4 linked regions of the Callithrix jacchus genome follow. The protein of the gene in region 1 purifies or fractionates together with the protein of each later gene. This does not show direct contact. Links are inferred from orthologs where the notes say so. Each region holds a gene or a part of one and is shown on either strand. Other genes may lie near its edges.

What was found.
Region 2: the proteins of MAPK9 (region 1) and MAPK8IP1 purify together in Homo sapiens (affinity purification with western blotting; 4 studies listed by BioGRID and IntAct, counting the BioPlex papers as one, with this or other methods). This does not show direct contact. The link is inferred for Callithrix jacchus from reciprocal best matches to the Homo sapiens genes MAPK9 and MAPK8IP1.
Region 3: the proteins of MAPK9 (region 1) and DUSP16 purify together in Homo sapiens (affinity purification with mass spectrometry; 6 studies listed by BioGRID and IntAct, with this or other methods). This does not show direct contact. The link is inferred for Callithrix jacchus from reciprocal best matches to the Homo sapiens genes MAPK9 and DUSP16.
Region 4: the proteins of MAPK9 (region 1) and DUSP8 purify together in Homo sapiens (affinity purification with mass spectrometry; 4 studies listed by BioGRID and IntAct, with this or other methods). This does not show direct contact. The link is inferred for Callithrix jacchus from reciprocal best matches to the Homo sapiens genes MAPK9 and DUSP8.

What each region holds. Positions count from the first base shown.
Region 1 is NC_133503.1:71,381,455-71,386,728, forward strand, and holds part of MAPK9 (mitogen-activated protein kinase 9), read left to right. Parts: intron 1-834; coding exon 835-898; intron 899-2,822; coding exon 2,823-2,894; intron 2,895-4,253; coding exon of another isoform or gene 4,254-4,258; coding exon 4,259-4,401; 3' UTR 4,402-5,274. UniProt on the Homo sapiens protein: Serine/threonine-protein kinase involved in various processes such as cell proliferation, differentiation, migration, transformation and programmed cell death.
Region 2 is NC_133511.1:110,908,001-110,914,042, reverse strand, and holds the start of MAPK8IP1 (C-Jun-amino-terminal kinase-interacting protein 1), read right to left. Parts: upstream 3,897-6,042; 5' UTR 3,700-3,896; coding exon 3,599-3,699; intron 1-3,598. UniProt on the Homo sapiens protein: The JNK-interacting protein (JIP) group of scaffold proteins selectively mediates JNK signaling by aggregating specific components of the MAPK cascade to form a functional JNK signaling module. Required for JNK activation in response to excitotoxic stress.
Region 3 is NC_133510.1:10,741,943-10,747,752, forward strand, and holds the start of DUSP16 (dual specificity protein phosphatase 16), read left to right. Parts: upstream 1-1,914; 5' UTR 1,915-2,478; intron 2,479-3,182; 5' UTR 3,183-3,594; intron 3,595-5,810. Other genes in the region: uncharacterized protein LOC144577833, read right to left, coding at 968-1,078, 1,561-1,914. UniProt on the Homo sapiens protein: Dual specificity protein phosphatase involved in the inactivation of MAP kinases. Dephosphorylates MAPK10 bound to ARRB2.
Region 4 is NC_133511.1:130,332,655-130,338,621, reverse strand, and holds the start of DUSP8 (dual specificity protein phosphatase 8), read right to left. Parts: upstream 3,897-5,967; 5' UTR 3,867-3,896; coding exon 3,636-3,866; intron 2,088-3,635; coding exon 1,949-2,087; intron 1-1,948. UniProt on the Homo sapiens protein: Has phosphatase activity with synthetic phosphatase substrates and negatively regulates mitogen-activated protein kinase activity, presumably by catalysing their dephosphorylation.

The DNA of each region.
Region 1 (5,274 bases):
AACTTACACTTTGGTGATACCATTATTTCCATTTTGCAAATGCTGCTTTGTGCTCGTAGTTTATTAAGGATCTGTTCTATGCCATGGGCTTTGGTTGCATCCTCTTATTTAGGCCACTCAACCAGAGAGGCTGAACAACTTGCTGAAAAATCACACGTCTGTTTATCCTTCCCTAAAGGCATCATGCCTCCTGGTTCCCCTTCTGGAGTAGCTCCACTCTGAGTTTGGTGCTCGTGTGCTTGTTTCCGTATCAGCACCGGTGTGAGTGAGCTTTAGCTGTGAGAGAAATCACTGCATAGTAGCAGGCTTCCTTCAGGCCATTAGTGAAATACATGTTTATGTCATGACCAGTGATCTTACCATCACTTTAAACATTGTTTTATAGAGAAATAATCCAATTTATAAGCAGACTTTTGTAACAGTCCATTTATGAGTTGGACATTGAGTTTGGGAGTTCTCCCATGAAGAAAATGTAAAACTTGTTCTAAGAAACAACAGGATATTCCATAGCTGCCAGCCCAGTGCCTTGTCCATCATGGGTCTCTAGGAAACAGCCTGTGCTGTTTCTAATGACATCTGGGCAGATGTCTGTGTTTTGAGGTCAGGTGATTATTAAGAGGAACATAGTAACTCTTTTTTGGTTAAGTTTATCGTAACTATTTTGATTCTAAAAGCTGATATCACATGACAGAAATCTTTATTAAACCATGTGTTGAATTACATTAAATTCATATCATAAATAGACTAGAAGTCTTCCAAGTGATTCTACCTTTTTTAATGCCTCATTGTTTTTTGAGGCATTACTGTTGACTTTGCATATGATTTAATTTTTAGCCACCACCTCAAATTTATGATGCCCAGCTGGAAGAAAGAGAACATGCAATTGAAGAATGGAAAGGTAAAGACAGAGCTTGTTTTGTTCTTCCTTGTGACATTTCTTCCAATCCTATAAAGCAGAAACTTTACATTTTGTAACATTTCTCTTCAGGAAGGGGGAAAAAAAAAAACACCCTGCAGTCCACTTAGCCTCTTTCTTCCAGTTTCCAGTAGAAAAAGAACTTGAAGAGAACAGAATTAAGAGAGGCACATGTATGAATTTCTTATCATATGTTTCAAGAGGAAAAAATATTTTTTTCATGGTTTTTCACATATTAGTTTGTAAATGGAGCTTGGTAATTGTATCACACATATATTGATAACATGTTGCAAATTGTCAGGTGAGACCAATTCATTGGCTGCATGTTACCTATAGAATTCCCAGTATATGCAGAAATGGGGAGCCAGGGCTGGGGGTCATGTGAACTTCTGCTTGTTCTTTTAAGCCATGTAGTTGTATATATGTTTTAAAATCCAGTTTGGGGGAAATTGCAGATTGAAAATGTACAGGTAGGTATTATTACCACTGTAATATTAACCAAACAACCCACAACAAACTATACATGTAATGAAGAGGTTGAACTAACAATTTTTCATTAAAAAGCAGGATCAGTAGTAACTGAGAACCACAGTTAGAGTGAGTCAACACTGATGATGGGTCCTGACCCAGGGCCGTCCTGGGATGTGGGAGTGCCAGTTACCTGTGTGCCCATGCTTAGCAAGACATACACACAGCATGCTCATTGGTCTCAGTAAATGCTTGCAATGTGCTGATGTTAGTTCATGAATGCTGAAATTTTAGGAATCCCTAATAACTTACTTAGTAGGTAATTAGTTTTTCTTACAAATGAAATTTGAGGAAAACTGAAGTTGAAACTAAGAAAAGACTTAGAACATGTGGATTCATTTTCAGCCAGTGTGGGGGGCTCCTAGCCCACATGTGGCTGCTGATTACCTCTGGAGAACCCTGAGTAACCAGAGACAAACATGGGTGTGAGAATGTCCAATCCCTTATAGTGTTCTGTGGGAGCCACTCCACTTCATAAAACCCTGTTATGGATCCAGAACCTCCCTCCATGTTTTGCTACCTTACTAGTCATTGAAAAAATGTAATGTAGTCGGAGCACAGTGGCTCACGCCTGTAATCCCAGCACTTTGGTAGGCCAATGCAGATAACTTGAGGCCAGGAATTCAAGACAAGCCTGGCCAACATGGCAAAACCCCATCTTTGCAAAAACTACAAAAATTAGCCAGGCATGATGGTGCACACCTGTAATCCCAGCTACTTGAATGACTGAAGCATGAGAATCATTTGAATCTAAGAGGTAGAGGTTGCAGTGAGCCAAGACCGTGCCACTTCACTCCAGCCTAGATGACTACATGAGACTCTGTCTCAAAAAAAAAAAAAAAAAAAAGAAAAGAAAACATACAATGTATCAAACATGAATATAATATAGGATGGGCCACAGCAACTCACGCCTGTAATCCCAGCACTTTGGGAGGCTGAGGCAGGCGGATCACGAGGTTAGGAGTTCAAGACCAGCCTGACCAACATGGTGAACCCCCGTCTCTACTAAAAATACAAAAATTAGCTGGGCATAGTGACACTTGCCTGTATTCCCAGCTACTCGGGAGGCTGAGGGAGGCTGAGGCAGGAGAATTACTTGAACCCGGGAGCTGGAAGTTACAGTGAGCTGAGATCATGCCACTGCACTCCAGCCTGGGCGACAGAGCAAGTCTCCATCTCAAAAAAAAAAAAAAAAAACTTTTTAGTGAATATTTTGGTCCAGGTAGACTATATTACTGAATTGACTCTGTCTTACAATTAAAAATAACATATCATGGTGCCCTTGGAGTGGTTCCAGTTGATTTGGAAGCAGAGTTTAGAGATGCAATGAAACTGTTTAGAAACTGAGTAAGCATTTTAACTTGTATTTTTATTAAAGAGCTAATTTACAAAGAAGTCATGGATTGGGAAGAAAGAAGCAAGAATGGTGTTGTAAAAGATCAGACTTCAGGTTAGTGATTGCTTTAATAGTTTGATTGTATGATATTTTTCTTTCTCAGTTCAACTTTTATAAATGGCAGCAACATGTGAAATGCCAGCCTGGCTAGCATCAGATTTAAAAACCACTTATGAATAGCTACCCTTTTTGGCTTGTTGTGGTGGTGGTGGTGGTGGTGGATGACGTTTTACTGATAATGTCAGGCACTGAACTTTGTTATAAACATTCCTCTTTCATCTTTGCAATAACTGCGGTCAGCTTCATTTACAGATGAAGAAATTGAAAGAAAAGCTTTTTCAGTGTTGATAACCCTCTGTGTACTGGTCCCACCCAAAATGCCAATCTAGATAAAATGGAATATGATTTTCTTTTGAGAAAATTGTTCATATCATTCTCCCATTTTTCTGCTTCATCTACTGATATACAGTTGTAGAATCCTAATGCCTGGGTAGTTGTATGATAATGAGAGACTCTGATATTAGTGGTATTCACTTACGTCTGCAGGGTTCTACCTGTTTACTAAATGAAACGCTCAAGTTATATTTATTGTCTCACTCCCACTCCCACTGGAAAGCATGCACACACAGGTGTGAAGATGTGCAGAGAGCACAGCTTACTTTGTATTCTTGAATGTTATTATATTCAGCATGATGTATGTGTCAAGCATCTAGAGATTACATAACTTCAGTAAGAACTTAAGTGCTTGTTAATTAAGCACAAATTTAAGACTGTAGACGTCGATCTCAGAGAGTCTGCATGTTGTATTTTTATTCAAAACAGACTAAAACATTGATAGTAGGAAGTAGGATAGTTTCATTTGCTTTAAAATATTAAAATATCAGTTTTCTGGAGTTATAAAACAATAAAAAATATGAAGCCACTAATTTTTTTCCTTTTTCAAGTATGCAGTCTGTTTATTGCAAAAGATTTCTTTGAATATTGGTGCTTTTTTTTCTGTAGATTTAGTGTTTATGTTATAAATTCAAGTATCTAGTGACACTTGAATCCTATTCAGGCTTAAGCCTTTTGTGATACTGCATTTTCAGATAAATATAGCTGTTTCCTTTTGATGTCTACTTGAAAGAAGCAGGCATTTTTTTAAGTAGGTAACATGATTATACATGAACACATGTTTAGCCACCGAGAAGAAAACAAGAATCTTGCAAGGAAAGACATAGAAATATGGGATTCTGGGCCCAAAGAAAGACTCAAGGAAAAGCTTATAAAGTCCAGCCAAGTAACCTCTTGTTTATACTCATAGTTAGGATTGGGAAACTGCAAAAGGACAGAGCCAAGAAATGGCCTGAAGTCTCGTTGCCTGGATTTGCAGCAATGTCGTGCCTCAGATTTTATTATATTTGGTTTTCTTAGCACAGATGCAGCAGTAAGTAGCAACGCCACTCCTTCTCAGTCTTCATCTATCAATGACATTTCATCCATGTCCACTGAGCAGACACTGGCCTCAGACACAGACAGCAGTCTCGATGCCTCGACGGGACCCCTTGAAGGTTGTCGATGATAAGTTAGAAATAGTAAACCTGTCATCACTGAAGGAACTCTCACCTCCATGGGCCTGAAATGCTTGGGAGTTGATGGAACCAAACAGAAAAACTCCATGTTCTGCATGTAAGAAACACAATGCCTTGCCCTACTCAGATCTAATAGGATTGCCTGCTTAGATTATAAAATGAGGCAGAATATGTCTGAAGAAAAAAAGTGCAAGCCACATTTCTAGAGATTTTGTTCAAGATCATTTCAGGTGAGCAGTTAGAATAGGTGAATTTGTTTAGAGTTGTATGGTAATAGTAGTGACAGTTTCTCATCATCTGTAACTGTTGAGATATATGTGCATGTTACCACAAATGCTTGCTTGGACTTGCCCATCTAGCACTTTGGAAATCAGTATTTAAATGCCAAATAATTTTCCAGGTAGTGCTGCTTCTGAAGTTATCTCTTAATCCTCTTAAGTAATTTGGTGTCTGTCCAGAAAAAGTTGATTTATGTTTATTAATCGTCCATCATGATGTTATTATATCTTACTCCCTTTTATGTTATGATTTATTCTCTTTTGTATTTCAGAAGACATATAATTAAATCTATTTAATAAATAAAATATATAGCTTTTCCTATATTTGTGATGTTTGGGCTGAGAATTATCACAGCTAAAACCAAGACACTTATGTGGACACCTTGTTTTCTCTAAATTGTCTTGTCTGGGATGGTTGTATATTCAGCTTTACTGCATGATAAAATTTTAAGTTTTGCTTAGTGCTGCTTGAAATCCTAGCTACCTTATCTCTTTTCCTCTTAGTCTTTTAGACTTAATATGAATTTAAAATGCTACCTAGAACTTCACCTTCTGTATTAGGCACATAATTCTCCATCTCAGTAA
Region 2 (6,042 bases), on another chromosome or scaffold:
ACTTGCTGTGTGCTCTTGGAGGAGCCCCTCGCCCAGTCTTTCCTCATAAGGGGAGGGGTTACCTCATGGGGGGTGGGGTTTCCTCATAGGGGAGGGGTTTCCTCATAAGGAGATGGGGCTGGTTGGATGAGCTGGTCTCTAAGGTCTCTCTGATCCACAATTCCCCTTCTAGTCACCCCCGACAGGCTGCTCCCTCCCTTCCTTCCCCTGAAGCCCCGTTTGTCTCTGCTGTTCCTCCCACGTGAACTATCCCTCTGTCCCTCCCTTTTGTCCCACCTACCCAGTGCCAATGTCTCCACTGTATAAATATAGAAATTCTCTTTTCTAGAGTTTTCTTTATAATGAACATGTATCACTTTAATTTTGAATTTCCTTTTATTATTTTTAAGGTACAGAAGTAACTGCTAATTATAAAATAAGAAGTTAAATACAGGTGAGCAGCTCTAATCTGAAAACATTGCTCCAAAATCCTAAATGTGTGAGCAGCAACATAACAGCGCAGGTGGAAAATGCCACACCTGACCCCATGTGACAGGCTGCAGTCAAGACTTTGTCTCATGTACAACATGATTTAAACTATTGTATAAAATTACCTTTAGGCTGTGTGTATAAGGCATACAAGAAAAAATCAATTTTATGCTTAGACTTGGGTTCTGCCCCCAAGCTATCTCATTATGCATATGCAAATATTCCAAAATCCAAGAGAATTAGAAACCTGAAACACTTCTGCTCCAAAGCATGTCAGATAAGGCATACTCAACCTGTAATATAAAAGTATGTAAAATAAGAAGTGAAAATCCCTCGCCCCATATCATACCCAAAGGTTACTAACCACTATAACCAGGTGTAGCATTTCTATAATCAGAACAAAAATCAACACGTATTTATTTCAACCAACTACCAACAAACTAATGCTCCCCCTGCCCCTTCAGGTCCACATGCTCACCCCTCCACACCAGCACCTCCAGTACTCCAGGGCTCTTCCTTTTTGGGGTGGCTCTGACATCAGACTGCCTGCCACTTACCAGCTCTGCCACTTACGTAACCTCCCTCTGCCTCAGTTTCCTCATGCAAGTGTGGATAATAACAATGCTCTGTTGATATCGTTATTGTGAAGAGTAAATACTCTTGCACACAGGAAACTCTTAGAATGGTGCCTGGGCGAACTGAGTGCCTTCCAAATGTCAGCGCTTACCACCGTTGAGTACCTATCGTGTGCTGAGCAATGGAGATACCAAAGTTTGGGTACAGATCCCCTGTGTCTTCTGGGAGCTGACAGTGGCACTGGGGGTCAAGTTGCACACACACACATAAACACACACACACACACAGCCCTGCCTACCTGTGGCTCTCCTCAGCCCTTGAAACACTCAACACGTGTTATCTCATCTGATTCACAGGACCATCCTGAGCAGGGGCCAGCGCTGGCATCTTGGAGGCTCAGAGAGCTTAAGTGTCCAGTGTAAAGGCACACAGCTAAGAAGGCCCAGTCAGGATTCAAGCCCAGGCCAGTTGGATCCATGACACCACCAAAGAGCCACAGGAAAGCACTACCCACCCACCCAGGGTTAAGTGGAGCTGGGTCAAGCATAGTGAGAGGCGGGCCAGGAGAAAGGGCAGTGGGGGCTGCAGGAACAGCAGGGCAGGTCAGCAGGGCCTGAGACACTGACCCGTATTATTCCCACATGCTGGCCTTGTCTCTGCAGCCAGGCCACGATGTCCTGGAGGGCCGACCCACGCTTCAACCTCCTGGCCTACTGCCACCCTTGTCCCATGTGGCGAGAGCTGGCCACACACTCACTAGCTGGTATCCGTTTCCTCAGCTCCTCTCACTAAAGCATTCATGACACCTGGGGAAGCAGGTCGGGGAGGAAAAGCTGCCCTCTAGGCCGGAGGCAGGGCGGGGAGGCAGAGTGGACTGAACATGCACAGACCTGGGTCCCACTGTGGCCTCAGCCTCTTACTATTTTGGAGTCCCTAGCAAGCCACTCTGCCTTTGTTCATCTCAATCACCTTGTCTATAAAATGGGAGGACCATTACCTTCTCTCGGGTGGTTATGAGGATCAAGAGAGTGGCCTTGGGAGGACACTCTGGATAGCAGCGAGCTGTAGCAGTCTGCTAGTGTCCGGGCTGGCCCTTGCTGAACACTGACCTGCTCTGCTTTTTCTCCTTTCCAGGCAGGAATCAATATTAATCGGCCCACTTAACAGATGGCACTCAGTGGACAAAACCCTGCCTGGGTCATGCAGTTGGATAGTGGAGCTAGGATTTGAACCCAGGTCCTTATAAGCACTATGTGCTTCCACTGCAGAGAGGCCTCCAGGTGGGGAGGCAGTGTTTGCATGGAGGCCTTGTGCGCCACGCCAGGTGGAGTCTCAGACCTCAGCCTGTGAGTCGAAGGCATTATCAGAGAGCTGCAGCCCTGGAGCCTTCAGGCCTGGTCTCCTCCATCTGGCCCCCTCTGGTCCTCCCGGCTCAGCTCAGGGTCTTGGGGGAGGTTTCTGGGTTTGATGATGCCATTAGAGATCCCCAGGGGTCTCTGTCCACCTGAGGACCTGGGAGCCAGTGACCCCTTGCTCCCAGGAGGGGCTGGCGCCACAGCCCAGCTGGAGCCTGGCTGGGGTGGGGCCCCAGGAGAGGGGAAGGCGCCAGCTCTTGAGATGGGGAAACAATGGGGTATGTCTAAGCCTCCCTCTCTAGGTGGGGAGCAGTGACATCTGCCTCTTCCTCCCCACCAACTAGGGGTCAGAATTATGGGGGAGGTATATCTATTCCTCCTCCACACAGTCACCCTTCACTTCTCTGAAACACATCAGACCTAACACCAGGCTGGTGGGGGGCGGTGGGAGGGGTGGAATGGGAGCTTAGGTCAGGGTTCTGGGTATTTACTCCAGCAGGGACCCCTGACACCCCCGCTGGCCCTGGCTACTCCCTGGCCGACTTCCCTTCCCACAGCCGGGCCTAGGATTCCCCAGGTTGAGGCTGAGCCTTCAGCGCCTGCCCTGAGAGACACACCTGCCCAGGTCGGTGCTGCTCAATCCAGAGAGGGGCCTGGCCATGGCGGACATGACAGGTAGGCCCATCTGGGCAGGCAGGGGCCCAAGACGCCGTCCTCCCAGCACCAACAACAACGTTGCCCCCAGGAAACTGCGACCCGCGACCCCCCCCCCCCGCCCCTCCCCGCCCCGCCCAGGCTGTTCCCAGCCCTATTCAGAAATCTTCCGACTGGGCAAAGGCTAAGATGCAGCCCGCCTGCCCGCTCAGGGATCACAACCCGGATCCCAGACCCTGCTGCAGCCCAGCCCGGAGGTGGGAAAGAAGGCAGCCTCCGAGCCCCCTCCTCCAATTCCAGCGCAGACCTCCCGGCCTAGGACCAGGAATGGCGGAGGGAGCGGCCCCGTGAACCTGCAGCGACTACCAGTCCGAGCATGAGGCTGGCGGGGCTTCTGGGGGACTCTGTCCCGGGAAGATACCCCATCCCCACGCCGTCCTCTCGTTCCCGGGTTCCCGAGGTTCTGGGGTAGGGGGCGGCCAGGGACAGCCCAGGAGGATCAGTCCCGCTGAAGGGCGAGGCGCGCGGCGGCCGGGGACTCTCACCTGAAATTGGGAGGAGACGCGATGTGCAGCCCCAGGAACGGGGAGGCGGCGGGCGGGGACGCAGCACCCCCGCCCAGGCCGCCGCTTTCTCGCTCCGCCATTCTCGGGCACAGCCCTGGCCATCCGGGCGGAGCGCGGCGCGGAGGAGGCGACGGCGGCGAAGGAGGCGGAGGCGCGGCGAGGGGGCAGCCGCCGCCGCCGCCGCCGCCGCCGCCGCGGGGCTCGGGCTGGGCGGGCTGGGCGGGCGCACCTGTGTCTGGCAAGGCGCGGCTCCGCGCCGCGCACGGCTAGCGGGACTGGCTAGAGCGCCCGGCGCGCGCCCCTGGGCCCCGGCCGGGGTCTCGAGCGCCCCGCCCTTTCCCCGCCCCTGTCCCGACAGCCCCGCCCCCGGAGATGGCGCTCTCCGCGGTGCTGAAGCCACGGACCCGCGGCCCTGGGCTTGGCTCAGCCCCGCCCTAAATCCGACACTGACTCTCCTCTACCCCTCAAGGTCCCCAGTGGCTGGTGTGGGCTTTGTCCCTCCGGGTGAGCTTAGCGCTCGGGTATCAGATAACTAATGGCAGGACCCTGGACCCCAAGGTCCAGGTTTGGCCCCCGCAGCAGAGACCAAGAAGGTAGACGAAAAAGGAGGGTCGTGGAGGAAGGCAGAAAAAGGAGAGGATATCAGTGGGTTCTTAGAGTGTACAGGTTTGGAGTTGGGTGGTGTGAATTCTCTGGCTCCACAAGTGATTGGGCATTGGGGCCTTGCATTAGTGACTAAAGAGGACTAAGGTGTGGTCTTCTTACCTGTGAAATGGGACAATAACGGCCCCTCTCATGGTTGTGAGGATGTAACGTAACACAAATGTGTTGCTACTAAGACCTGGAAACACTCCACCTCCTGCACCGGGATCCAGGCCTCACCCCAGTCCTGTCCCTTTACCTTGAGGGGACCCTGCCAAAGACTCTCCCTAGAGGCTGCCCTCTCTAAAGATTGATGCAAGCCTCTCTTCAGCCCCTAACAGCTACTTGTGGTGAATTGAGCCCTCCAGCCTTTTCAGTCTCTCAGCACCTCCTCCTTCACCCCAGGACCTTCCCAGCATTCTCCTTCTTAGCGCCTCAACTGCATTTCCTGCAGAGCACCCCTCCTCTGCACCCACAGACTCACATTCTAAGACTTGGGGCTTTTCCCTCTGCTCCCACTGTTGACTTCTTGGGATCATTTTGGTTCTTTCTGTTCCCTCTGGCACCTCCATCCCTGCTAGGCTTTGGCCATGGTTTCTTCCTCATTGTCTCTCCCCCAAGAGGGTGTTAAGCCTGAGCTTCCAGGCCTTCAAGGCCCTGTGTTCCCTGATTGAGTCATTTCACAGAGTATGGACTAGGCCTCCAGCTTTGGTGGGTCATGGAGCCTCTGGGCAAACCTTATTGGCTTCTCTGGTCCCTCAAGAGAACCCTAGAGACCCTGTCCACACTGCAGGACAGGACAGAAAACCTGCATACTGTGCCACAAGTCGTGGAGTCCTATTTGCGTATCTGGAAGGCTGACGGGTAATGCTGGCCCCTTTCCCTCAGTGTAGCACCCAGCAAGGAGCAGAAGGCACCTTCCTTGCAGAAGGCAACCCCCCAGCTCCAGACTCAATATCCCAATACCCAAAGCCAAAGGTCGTGGCTGCTTCTCTTTTCCCTGCTCTTGGGGCCCAGAGGGGTGGCCACTATTCTTAGCTTTTTGTGCTCAGACCCCTTCCCTGGGCCCTCACATTAACCATCTGCTGCCATGGTGCCTGGGCTTTCCTCCCAGGAAAGCAGTCTTGCCATCATGGCTACTAATTGTTCCTTAAAATGTGGACTAGTCTCAGCTAGGGAACATCCTCAGGAGGTTGTCCTCAGCAGCAGTGTATGCACATGACAACTCCCTCTTCCAGAATCTTTTGCTCAAGAGTAAAGGTATCTTAGCTCCAAAGGCCAAACCAAAGCTATAGTAAGAGAGAGCCAGGAGAAGGGCAAGAGGGACACAGGCCCAGGTCTTGGTAGGAAGGAGGCCAGCAGGAGCTTCAGAGCAGCGCCAAGAATGAGAGAAGTCCCCAAGGCAGGTTCCTCCCCTTTCTTCCTTTCTCACTCTGTACAGGCCAGACTGTGATATTCTTGGGCCTTGCCTCAACCCCTCCCTACAGGAAGTTGGGGTATGAGCTCATAAAGCTCTCAGTTCAAGGCTAGCACCCCTAGCATGGAAGCAGGCCATGCTGCACCGAGAGGGGCCATTCTTTGGCTAGGTGGGCAGGAGACAAAGCCAGAATCCAGGCCCTAGGCTTGGCTGTGGGCAGATCTCAACTACCTAGTCCCAGCCAGAGAGCCTGCATCCCCTCCTCACCACGGGCTGCAAGCTTAAGTGGCTGCATTGAATTAAAGGATGGATTGAGGACCTGGAGCAGGCCCTGCACTAACTGACCCGCAGCCTGGAGTTTTAA
Region 3 (5,810 bases), on another chromosome or scaffold:
ACCAATATTGTACATCACTCAATCAGTGCTTTGGCTTTTAATTAACTTTAATCTATGTCTTTTTTCCAGAAATAGATGAAATACCCCGAGAGGCTTCCATGATAGCTATGATGGCACCACATGCATACATTACACAAATTTAATTGTAATGAGGATGAAAGGGGAGAAAGATTTCAAGCCATGTCAGTTAAAGCAAGGTTACTGGAACTATGGCATGCAAAGGGGATATCATGAATTCTCATGAATCTTTTCTCCAGGCAAGATCCATGCTCTGTACCACTAGTAAAAGGACTATCTTCTCCTTCCTTCCTAAAAATCCCAACACCTCCAACAAAGGTCTACAGTTAGATTTTTAGGGGTTTCCTGGTAGAGCACAAATAATCCCAAGGAAGCTGCAGTAACACCTCCTGGCCACCAGAGGACAGGAAGCAGTGGGAGAGATTTGCTTTCCCTAGCAGAAGTCTTCAGGAGGCCAGAGGCACCGGCTCAGAGTTGCTTCTGCACTGTGGCCTTCGGGCTTTACCTACCGCCAGAGGTGCTGGCAATGCCTCCCATCTTCAAATGGACTTTCCTCCCTCCTATAAAAGCCGGAGCCTTACCCGGCAACACTAACCTTCAATGATTACCAGTCATAAGGAATGCCCTTCAGTTGCAGGATTTAAAGGCAGAAAAGTAGCAAAAGGGGTGTATTATCTTTCTAACCCACCCAAACCCGCTTCTCAGTTCTTTTGCCAATGAAAACAAAGTGCTTTAGGCAGGGTGCATATGGATATCCCACAACAGTGTCTTTAGGGGCCAGTGTCCCAATCAGGCACATCGCAAACGGAGTCTTTTAGGAGTTAGATTATTCCAACACATAAATTCTGGCTCATGGAGCAGTCCACTCGCAGGGTGCTTTTCCGTCATTAATCACATCTTTGTTATGTGATATCCACGTGAGCACTTCTCACTAGAAGCAGCTTCATGCTTAAATGCTCAAAGAACATTGAAATAAAGCTCCCATTGTCCTATTCAGTAATTCCAAGTCCTCGTTTGTCACCACCTCAGGTCTCTCGTTTTCCAAAGTGCATAATGTCATCTAAAAAAAAAAAAAGCAATTTTAATGAATTCAAATAATAAAATGCAAGAGGTATGTGGAGTCAAATCAACAAGGGTTTTGTACCTCTCAAAAGGCAGTGAACCCCTGGTCTGATTTAAAGACGTTTCTGCGCTGCCTCCTGTAGAAAACATTTTCAAAGAGAATCTAGGCTCCTTATCCTCCTCTTTGCAAATACAGGCAAAGTAAAGTAATTTAGGAATATTTACGCGGGGGTTTTCAACCACAAACATAGAGATGGCTGAAAGCCTGTCAACGGCAGTGTGATTTTTCTTGAAATACCTGTAACTTCTCTACTGAGAAACGGCAGAACTTTGTCTTTTGCATTCCTCAGACTTTTAAGAGAGCGACTGAAATTCTCTCAAATCAGTGTTTGCGTTTTTTGACGTTGGTGAGGCAGCTGGAAACAGCTCAAGAAGGAGGGAAAGGGTCTGCGTCTGGGTGCGGGGAAAACCCTCCGATACCTGCTGCAGCGCAGCGCTGGAGGCGGACACCCTGGCCCGGGGGGCGGCGGGGGCGCGGGCCCGGAAGGAGGAGGAGGAGGAGGAGGGAGAGGAGGGGGAAGAGGCCTCGGGGCCGCCTCCTCCGGCAGCTCCGGCTCCTCCCAGCGGCGCCCGCGGAACCTGCCTCAGAGTCGCCGGACACTGGAAGGGAACATGACCTGACCCCTCCCCAAGCGGCCGGAACGAGGCGCGGAGTCGCGCTCGGGGCTCCGGCGTCCGCGGGATGGGCGGGCAGGCGGGCGCGCGGCCCCGCCCGGCGCCCACCGCCCTGCCCTCGCCTGTCTCCTCCTTTCCCCGGGGCTCCGCTGAGTTCATTCACTGGGATTGGTTTCAAGTGACGCCATCTCTTTATTTTTAAACCAATGACCTCATCCGCGCTTGAAGTTTCCTGACCAGCGGCTCTTTCTCTTTCCCCCAACCCCCCACCCCCCCCAGCCTTTCCCCCTCTTTCTATGTATCACTGTTTGGGGGACTTTAATCAGTTTTTTAAACGATTATTGCCACCCCTCACTCCCCCCAACCCCCGCTTTCACCACGCGGCCCCCCACCTTTACCTCCCTAAGTTCTTCATCCCTTTCGACATTTTTTTTGAAGGCTGGCTGGGGGGACTGTGGAAGAGAAAGAGTGAAGAAAAGTTGCGAGCGTCTCCTCTCTTCCTGAGCCTCCCGCCCCCACCCGCCCCTCAGAGAAGGAGAAGATAATATAGTGAAAAGAGGACGAGGAGGAGAGCGACGGGACGGGACGCGAGCTGGAGCGCAGCCGCCCTCTCGGCTCCGCGGCGGCGCCTCTCAAGCCCGGGAGGCGAGAGGGGCCCGAGGGGAGACGCCGTGACAACTTTCGTTTCCCTCTGAGGGAACTGGGAGGTCGGCGGCCCCAAAAGTAAGTGGCCTCGGCGGGCCGCGCGGGGTGTGCAGGCGGGAGGGTGCGGGGCCCGGGGCGCCCTCCCGCCCGGCCGCATGGACGCTCCGCGGCGCGTCCCGATTCCCGGCCCCGGGCGCCGTGCTCTTGCCCCGCCGGCTCTGCCTTCCCCGGCGTACCGACCACCCTTTCGGGAGCGGCGAGGGGGCGACCACGGCCGGGGGCCGCAGGAGCGTTTGAAGCTGGGGTGTAGGCCTGGCCCGCGGCGGGCCCGAGCGGGAAGGGGGCGTGCGGCCGGCGCGGGGTCGCAGTGGGTGCGCCCCCGGCTGTTGCGCGGCGAGCGGGCTCGGACCGGGCCCCTCCGAGAGGCGCGGCCGCCGCGGGACGCGGCACCTTCGCGGGCGAAGCTGTTCACTTCCAGGCGCGACTGTTACACAACACGCCTGCCAAGTGGGGCCCCGGCCTGACTGTTCCCATTATCCCCAGTTCGCCTTTGGTGTAAGCAGCGAGGCCACCTGGGTGGTGACGGTGCTGCTTTCTGTAATCAACCAACCAAAAAAGCCCTTAATTTTCCGACAGGGGATGAGTCTTGGCGTTGGGGGGCCCGACGCCTAGTGACTTCTTTATTTACACTAGCTGCAAAACGTGAGAAATAAAAAAGCCCAGGGTCTGTGTATCACGTGTACTTTCGCGTAATGAAACACCACAGAGGGAAATATTTTCAGATGCTGGGTCTGTTTCCTAAAGAATACCGGTAGTGAACCAGAGGAAATACAGTGGATCTGAAAATGAATGGACACCGCAACATCCTAAAGAAGTTCAGGGAACATCAACTGCAAGGATTCTTGGCGTTTTGAAGTCGTGTGTCTCAGATTGGAGAAAGCACACCTCTAACCAGCCTGTGATGAGTAAGGTGTGGAGGAAAAAAACCTGTTGCATAATCTCATTTGCCGTGGGGTTTGCTGTGCCGTCCCCTTGAACCAAAGGGAAGTGAGTTAAGATGCAGGGTTTTAAAACTCGGTGAAGTTTTTATTTACCCAGTGCCCTGGCTGCCACTTCTGTTTTAAAAGATTATAAGTAAACACTCTGCTCTTACAAGTGAACCAGACCTATCAAACCTGTTTAGAAAATAACCAGGTATGTTTCTCTCTTCCTTCTTTTCCGCGTGTGTGTGTGTGTGTGTGTGTGTCTGAGAGAGAGAGAGAGAGAGAGAGAGAGAGAGAGAGAGAGAGAGAGAGAAAGAAATTTACCATCCGAGCAAAAGCTTATGACTAGGGTTTGGGGAACTGAGACTATCAGAAAAATGCCTCTCTATGCCACTCACCTGATGGGGCTGATGGAGAGTCCACGTAAAGGACAACCGTTTCATTAGGATTTATGCTGTTAAATCTCCATCAAGAAAAGGGCTTGTTAAAGTTAAGGTAAATTTTTAAAAGATTTCGTACCAATTGGACTAATTACTCTTTAATTACTTCTCCTTGAGAAACGCATGTATTGGTGGATACCACTTGGGAGGCTCGTGGAGTCTATTTGGTGAAGGGCAGCAGCTTGGAGAAGTAAAATGAAAAACAGAATGTATGGCTTTGTGTAGAGATTTTAGTAAAAATGTGAGTAGGCACCGCGAAAGGTTGTTTTTTAAAATTGTGGAATTTACTGAGTTTGAAGACAAGGTGGAAAGTTGCATTAAATTGTTTTTTAAATTTTCCTAACATTTACCATCTTATGTAAAAATATGGGCTAAATAACATCAGCCCAAGAGGTGGATTTTAGGTAAAATAATTTTTGCACTTAGCAAAAGTCTACATGGAGGAAAATTAGAAAGGAGCTTATTTTGAATTCTGTTAATACGGTGAATATTGTATTGAAAATAACTTGGTTCAGGTACTATAAATGTACATTCAGATATAAAAAGTGTAAACTGTGGTAATTAATTTTTCTTAGTATTAACCTCCGCTGTATCAGCAACTCAAAGTAAAATATCTCATTTGTCTGAAAATTATACTTATTTTACTTAGGTGTTTCACATAGTGCCTGATTATGGAGGGGGCTAGGGACAGAACTGCAGAATTATCCAGTTTTGTTCCTTTTTCATTTAGAATGTTCTTGTTCTTTGGTTCAGTTTGGTGAATGTGAGTACCTATGAAATAAAAATAGTCATGTAAAATTGGGGGTTAGAGTCTCTTGGACCAAAAGCTTAATGGCAGTAACTGAGGAGGCAGCAAAAGAGGAGATCCTGTTACTCCAGTTCTTTTACGTTTTCCTATACATTTAAAAAGTATTTGTGGGATAGTTGAGAGTGGAAGTGAGGCTGAGATGGGGGGGAGGAGAGTAGGTATGTGTGAAGGTTGCAAAGTTTAGGTTGGGGTCAGGAGAAGAGGCAGGATTTATGTGTGAGTTTGTTTTGATGCTGTTTTCTGTAAATACCTGTATTGGGAATTTAATTTCATACAGTTTTTAGCATGTGGGATTAATATAGTCATGAAGCAGACTTATATAGCTCTCCAGTATTAAATTTTTTTTTCAATTTTCAGCTAATCCTAAAATTCTACTAAATACAATTTGCTAATAATTTATCCTAGAACTCCCAAGTTTTCCTAGACAGAAATAGTTTTCTACCTTGTGTTACCTGAACTAAAAATTTCACTGAACATTCGGTGTTTTTTAAAATGCGTTGAGTTCTCAAGCAAATGGTACTTTAGTTTGAAGAAGTAAATTAATACAGGTGAACTGATTTGGATCAGAATCCCAAGAAAACAAGCAGATAACTTAGAGGACACAAAACAGATTTTATGACAGATTTCAACAGAGGAAAGGAACTAGTTAAAAAGATTTCGCAGGAAAAACCATTGTTGATGCTTGATTGGCTTCAAAAGAAATTTACTGATCAAATTTTAGAACAGATAACTCACCATCATAAAAGAAAATCTGAATGTTGGCTTAAACAAAAACATAATTAGGAAAATAAGTCTTGCCCAAAGCTACATATGATAAATTCCAAAGCCAGATGTCAATTTTTTCCTGATTGTCTTGTGTTGTAGACAATCTGTTATTTGTATGCATTTCATTATCCTTGATGATTAAGGGTTGGCTATGTGAAAGAGGTTTATAAAGGTTGGCTGAATTTAAAGAAGCAGGCTCAGATTTTAAGAAGAGGCACTTCTCATATCCAGATGGATTGAGATGGGGAGTTAGAATTTTAACTCAAATAAATAACTGTAGGAAACAGTGGCTCAAAAGAAGGATGTAAGATTACGTTGGACAGGTACAAAGAAATAATAAAAGCTTGCTAGGGGTGTGATCAGTAAGGAAGGGAATGGAATAATCTTGGCATTAAAAGAAAGAGGAATAAATGG
Region 4 (5,967 bases), on another chromosome or scaffold:
TGTATGAGTGTATACGAGTATCTGAGTATATGTGTATGTGTATGAGTGTGTCTGTGGATGTTTATGAGTGAATACAACTGTGTATATGTGACTGTATGTATGAGTGCATGAGTGTGTATGTATGAGTGTGTATATGTAAGAGTGTATGAGTATCTGTGTGTGTTTTTACGTGTATCTGTGTATGTGTGTGTATGAGTATCTGTGTATGTGTGTGTATGTGTGTGAGTGCATATGAATGTGTATGTATGAGTGTGTAAGTGTATGAGTGTGTATATGTAAGAGTATGAGTATCTGTGTGTATGTGTATACATGTATCTGTGTATGTGTATGAGTGTGTATCTGCGTATGTGTGTGTATATGTGTGTATGTGTATGAGTGCATATGAGTGTGTATGAATGAGTGTGTAAGTGTATGAGTGTGTATATGTAAGAGTGTATGTGAGTATCTGTGTATGTGTATACGTGTGTATCTGTATGTGTGTATCTGTGTATGTGTGTGTGTATGAGTGCATGAGTGTGTATGTATGTGTGTAAGTGTATGAGTGTGTATATGTAAGAGTGTATATGAGTATCTGTGTGTATGTGTATGAGTGTGTATCTGTATGTGTGTGTGGGTATCTGTGTATGTGTATGAGTGTGTATGTGTAAGAGTGTATATGAGTGTGTGTATGTGTATGAGTGTGTATCTGTGTGTGTGTATCTGTGTAAGTGTATGAGTGTGTATGTGTAAGAGTGTATATGAGTATCTGTATGTGTATACGTGTGTATCTGTGTATGTGTAGAGTGTGTATCTGTGTGTATCTGTGTATGAGTGTGTATCTGTATGTGTGTATGTGTATCTGTGTATGAGTGTGTATCTGCGTATGTGTATGAGTATGTATCTGTATATGTGTATATGAGTGTGTCTCTGTGTGTATGTATGAGTGTGTATCTGTGTATGAGTGTGTATCTGTATGTGTGTATGTGTATCTGTGTATGAGTGTGTATCTGCGTATGTGTATCTGTGTATGTGTGTGTATCTGTGTATGAGTGTGTATCTGTATGTGTATCTGTGTATGTGTGTATGAGTGTGTATCTGCGTATGTGTATGAGTGTGTATCTGTATATGTGTATGAGTGTGTCTCTGTGTGTGAGTATGTATGAGTGTGTATCTAGATGTGTATATGAGTGTGTCTCTGTGTGTGTGTATGTGTATCTGTATATGTGTATGAGTGTGTCTCTGTGTGTATGTATGTGTATCTAGATGTGTATGAGTGTGTCTCTGTGTGTGAGTATGTATGAGTGTGTATCTGTATATGTGTATATGAGTGTGTCTCTGTGTGTATGTATGAGTGTGTATCTGTATATGTGTATATGAGTGTGTCTCTGTGTGTGTATGTGTATCTAGATGTGTATATGAGTGTGTCTGTGTGTGAGTATGTATGAGTGTGTATCTAGATGTGTATATGAGTGTGCGGTGGGGTAGCTTCCCTGCCTCCAGAGCTTGAAGCTGGCTGCCCAGGCTGCTTTCGGGCCTCAGGGATCCCTGGGCTCTCTGCTGGGACCCAGGCAGCAGCCTTGATGCCGGACAGCCCGCAGTCAGCTGGGCTTTCAGGGTGGGGAGACTTCCTCACCACCCCATGGCTCCAGCTGAATTTCCAGAGGGTGGGGCCTCTGCCTCGGCTTCTGTCAGGCACTCTGGGAAGGGGAGCAGGGTCCCACACCTGCAGGCCTCACCCCACACCTCCGGAGCGGAGCTGTACTTTGGGGTTTCCTTCTGTGTTGAGGATAAACTCACATTGGTGGATCCTGAAGCGTGGGGGTCCCAGGGAGAGGATGGCAGGGCCTCGAGAACCACAGATATATGGAGGTTTCCCCTGTGCACAGCAGACGCTGGCCTCTCTGACGCCCCAGCCCCAGCGCCTGCTGACAGACCAAGTGCCTTGGGGAGGCGTGGGTCCCAGACTCACCTGTGAGGATGGCCACACTGTCGAAACAGCCATCCAGCTTGCTCAGCAGGATGGAGAGGAAGCTGTCTGCTGCCAGCACGCTGGCGTCCCGCGTGCTCTGGTCATAAACCACCACGTCCTGCGGCTCTGATGCCTCCACCTGGGGGCCATGGGGCAGAGGTCAGCATGCCACCCCCACCTATTGATGCCCGGCCCTGTCCCAGCCACACTGGCCCAAGGGAACAGTGAGGTCGTCGGACGATGGGAGGTGAAAGCTGTCACCCTGCTGCCTGGGGGGAGAGCCGGTGCAGTGACACACCTCACACACTGTCCTCCACCTGCCAGGTGCCAGGTGCATACACCCACGCCACACAGCAGCCATGGGGGCGGGGGGGGGGGGCGGCGGGCTCCTGCCTGCACATGGGAAAAGGGGACAAATGCTCTGGCCAGGCCTGTGTCGAGGAGACACAGGTGAGTGCGATGGGAACTCAGGATAGGAACTGGCTGGCTCCTGGGGTGGTGCAGGGAAAGGGAGGCTCGGCCCATTTCAGGGATTCTAGAGGCAGTGCCTTCAGGTGTGGGCTCTCAGTGGGGCTAACTCTGGAGCCAGCAATTCTGCTCTCCACCCTCTTCCCTCCTCAACCCCCGTCGGAGAAACAGAGGACTTCGGCAGGACCGAAGGCCCCTGCACCAGTTCCGGAGGCAGCAGCTAGAAGCTGGGCTCCTCCCGTCCTCCTCCCCTGCCCCAAGGGCCAGCCCAGATGTTGAGCGGCTTTTGCTCACACTGCACCGGTGCCCCCGCCCAGCCCGGCGAGCACACTCAGCCCTTAAGCCAGCTGAGCCGCCAACCCCAGGCTGGGTGACGTCACCGGCAGCCAATGGGATTGCACCCTGCCGGGAGTCCTCACTGGGGGTCATTAATCACTGGATTCCCCTTGTTGGAAGCCAAAGGGAGCCAATTCTGGCCTTGGAGCAGGCAGATTCCTGGCCAGTGGCCATCTCACTTGCGTCCTCCAATGCCCCAGCTCCGAACAGGGCATATCAGTGACCCAGACCCCTCTCAAAGCCTCCACGATTGATAGCTTGTCACCCTCGTCCCCCTGTGAGGCAGTCGGAGGAGGAGCTACCTTCACAAGTCAACAGCCCGGCTGGTCCCACCCCAGCTGCACCTGATAGTCCTGAGGCGGAACGAGCTGTCCTTCCCCAGAAGGACGTTCCTGGGGGGTCACAGAGAGAATTCTGGGTCCCTGAATACTCGGGGTTAGGGGGAGCTGTGGGATGGGGACATGCTGCTCACGTGTGCCTTTTGACCGCCCCTCCTGTCCTCACAGCAGTCGGAGTGGATGACACAGCTGTGTCTGGGCTGCTCCCACCCCTGTGTTCACACCTGGCTATCCCGTTCACTGCTCCTCTCTATGAGCCTGGGCCAGTCCCAGCCACATAGTCCCTACCGTGTGGGGAGGGCCAGCACCTCCATGCAGGTGCTGAGTGAGGAGGACTTTGGGGAAGGGTGGGGAGGGCCCTGAGCAGGGACAGCAGGCATCGGCAAAATGCAAGTGCCAGAGGGGACTGCCCCACACGCTCCTGGCTGTGACCCCAAGGAGCCCAGATTGGGCTGGAGGGCAGAGGAGGGAGGCTGCCCAAGCTGAGGACTCCTTGGCCGTGGGCTCTGGAGGTGGCACAGGCCAGCGGGCGGAGCGCTGGGTACCTGGCTGCGTGTGGCCGGCTGGATGAGCTCTGCGATGGTCACCTTGCCCTGCTGCAGCCGCCGCTTCACCAGCTTGGAGCAGCAGATGTTGACGGAGCTCAGCACGTGCCAGCTGTTGTATTCCACGAAGGAACGGCTGTCGATGACCAGTGGTCCCCCAGGCCCGCCCCGCAGCAGGCTGGCCAGCTTCTTGGCATCCATCACCTTCCTTGGGAGCCGGTCCCCGGCCATGGTGGGGCAGTGGGTGGTGGGGAGGGTGACCCCTGAAGTGAGGAGGGGCTGCTCCGATGGCCCAGGGTGTGGCCTCCCGCTGGGAGTGACCTAGCACATGGTGCCGGACCTGCAGGGACAGGGGGATGGTCAGCCGCATTGCAGGCCCCTTCGTGGCACCCAGAAGCTCCCAGGACCGGCCAGAGCTGGGACCCCAGCCCGCCAGGACATCTGAGCCCAAAATGTGCCTGCGGAGACCCTCCTCCCTCCAGAGAGACCCTGTCCAGGTCACAAGGCCACCTCTCAGCAGGACGCAGCAAGGCAGTGGGGGGCAAATGAGCCCACAGCATTGGACTGGGCCGGCCGGCAGGACAAGGCCAGGGGTCCTTCCTTTGGGCCCTGGAGTTCATGGACACTTATGCATTCCAGAACATTCCATCTCATCCCTGGGATGCAGGCGTCTCCCTGCTCTGACCTCTGCATCTTCCCCACCACAGGACCCCCAGCAAGTCAGGGGTCCAGACGGCACCTCACCCTCCCTCTTGGCGAAGCCCTCTGCCCTCCTCCAGGCTCGCTGTCCCCACACCTGTCCCTCCCTCTGTTGGCACAGCCCTGGGGAGTCCAATCCCCAGAGCCTGGACTGCAGGGTGGCGCTGTAAGCCGATAATCCAGCCCCTGGCGGATGGCGGCCTGGGGGCTGTCTCTGCCCGAGAGTGGGCTCCCAGGGCAGCCGGATGGCAGGCAGGGTGTGGGAGAGGCTCGGGCACAGAGGCACGGCTCCTTTGCCACGGCTGCCCTCCTGGCCTGCAGGCTGAGGCTTAGTGCGTGCCATGTGCCTGCTGGGGGTGAGTGCCTGGCTCCTGCAGGGGTGTGTCATACCCACAGAGTGCCCCTCCTTCAGCAGAGCCTGGGGTCTGGGGGGCCCCTTCAGGGGCTGCTGGAGCCCAGGATGGGGGGCAGCCCCAGTATCAGAGACCCGAAGGTGCCAGGCCCTTGGCATGGCCTGCAAAGCCCTCAGACTGAAGGGCGGGCAGGCGGAGGAGGCGTGTCTGGGGATGGGGTCTCTAGAAGCCCCTCCTGCAGGCTTGGTGACAAGTCTCTGTCACTGCCCCACTTCGGGGTCCATCTCCCGGTCACCTGCCAGGACTACCCTTCCTCTGGGTCCACTTTAGACTCACAGTCCCCAGGAGGCACGTGGATTAAGGATGATGAGTTTGCTTTAACTATGGGGAAACTGAGGCTTAGGACAGGGGTGGAACCCACTCTAACCTACACAGATGGGCACTGGGTGTCTCTGCAAGGCCACCAGTGGGCAGAGGGGGCTCCGGTGGGGAGAGGGGGCTCTGGTGGGCAGAGGGCTCTCAGCAAGCCAGGCACCCAACCACAGCCACAGGGGGCACTGGGGGAGGTGCCCTGAGGATACCCATCACTGCAAATGGGCTGGGGACAGTGGCCACCACCGTTTCTGTACTCTCTGGGTCAGTTCCCAGGCTGGTGGGCCGGGGGCTGACAGGAAAGTTCACGGAGCAGCAGGTGCAAGGCCGGTGTGTACCGTGTCCCTGGTCCAACTCGAATCCAGCCTGAGGGGCAGGTCCCAGCCCCTCCCTGCCCAGGAGCCCCAGCCTCGAACTCACTCTCCTCCAGACACTTCACACTCGGCTCCCGTCAGGCCCCTCCCACCTTTCCCAGGCCCAGGCATCTGTGTGTTCCCACCACCCCTGCTGCCACCAGAGCCCAGGGAAACACCTGCCTCAGCTGACCCCACGGCTGACACCTGGGCCTGTGGTGGCACCTGGTCAGCGGGGCCTCGGGAACCCACTCCGACGACGCTCCCCTCCTGTGCTCCAGCCTCCACCACAGGGCACCCTCCCCGGGCCACACCTGCGGCCTCTTCAGAGTTCTGCCCAAACCTTGAGCAGGTGGTAACACGCAAGGGCCCAGATGTGTAGTCCTGGGGAGACAGTGGCTCCAGGTGCCCTGTATGACACCCAAGGGCCCAGCTCAGAGGTCTAGGACCCCGAGATGGCCGTGGGGGCAGAGACACTTGGGGGTCCTTCTAGGAGCATCCCTGGCCTCAATGTCCTCATCCGTTAAGTGAGGGTGGATTCTCTCTCACTGAAAA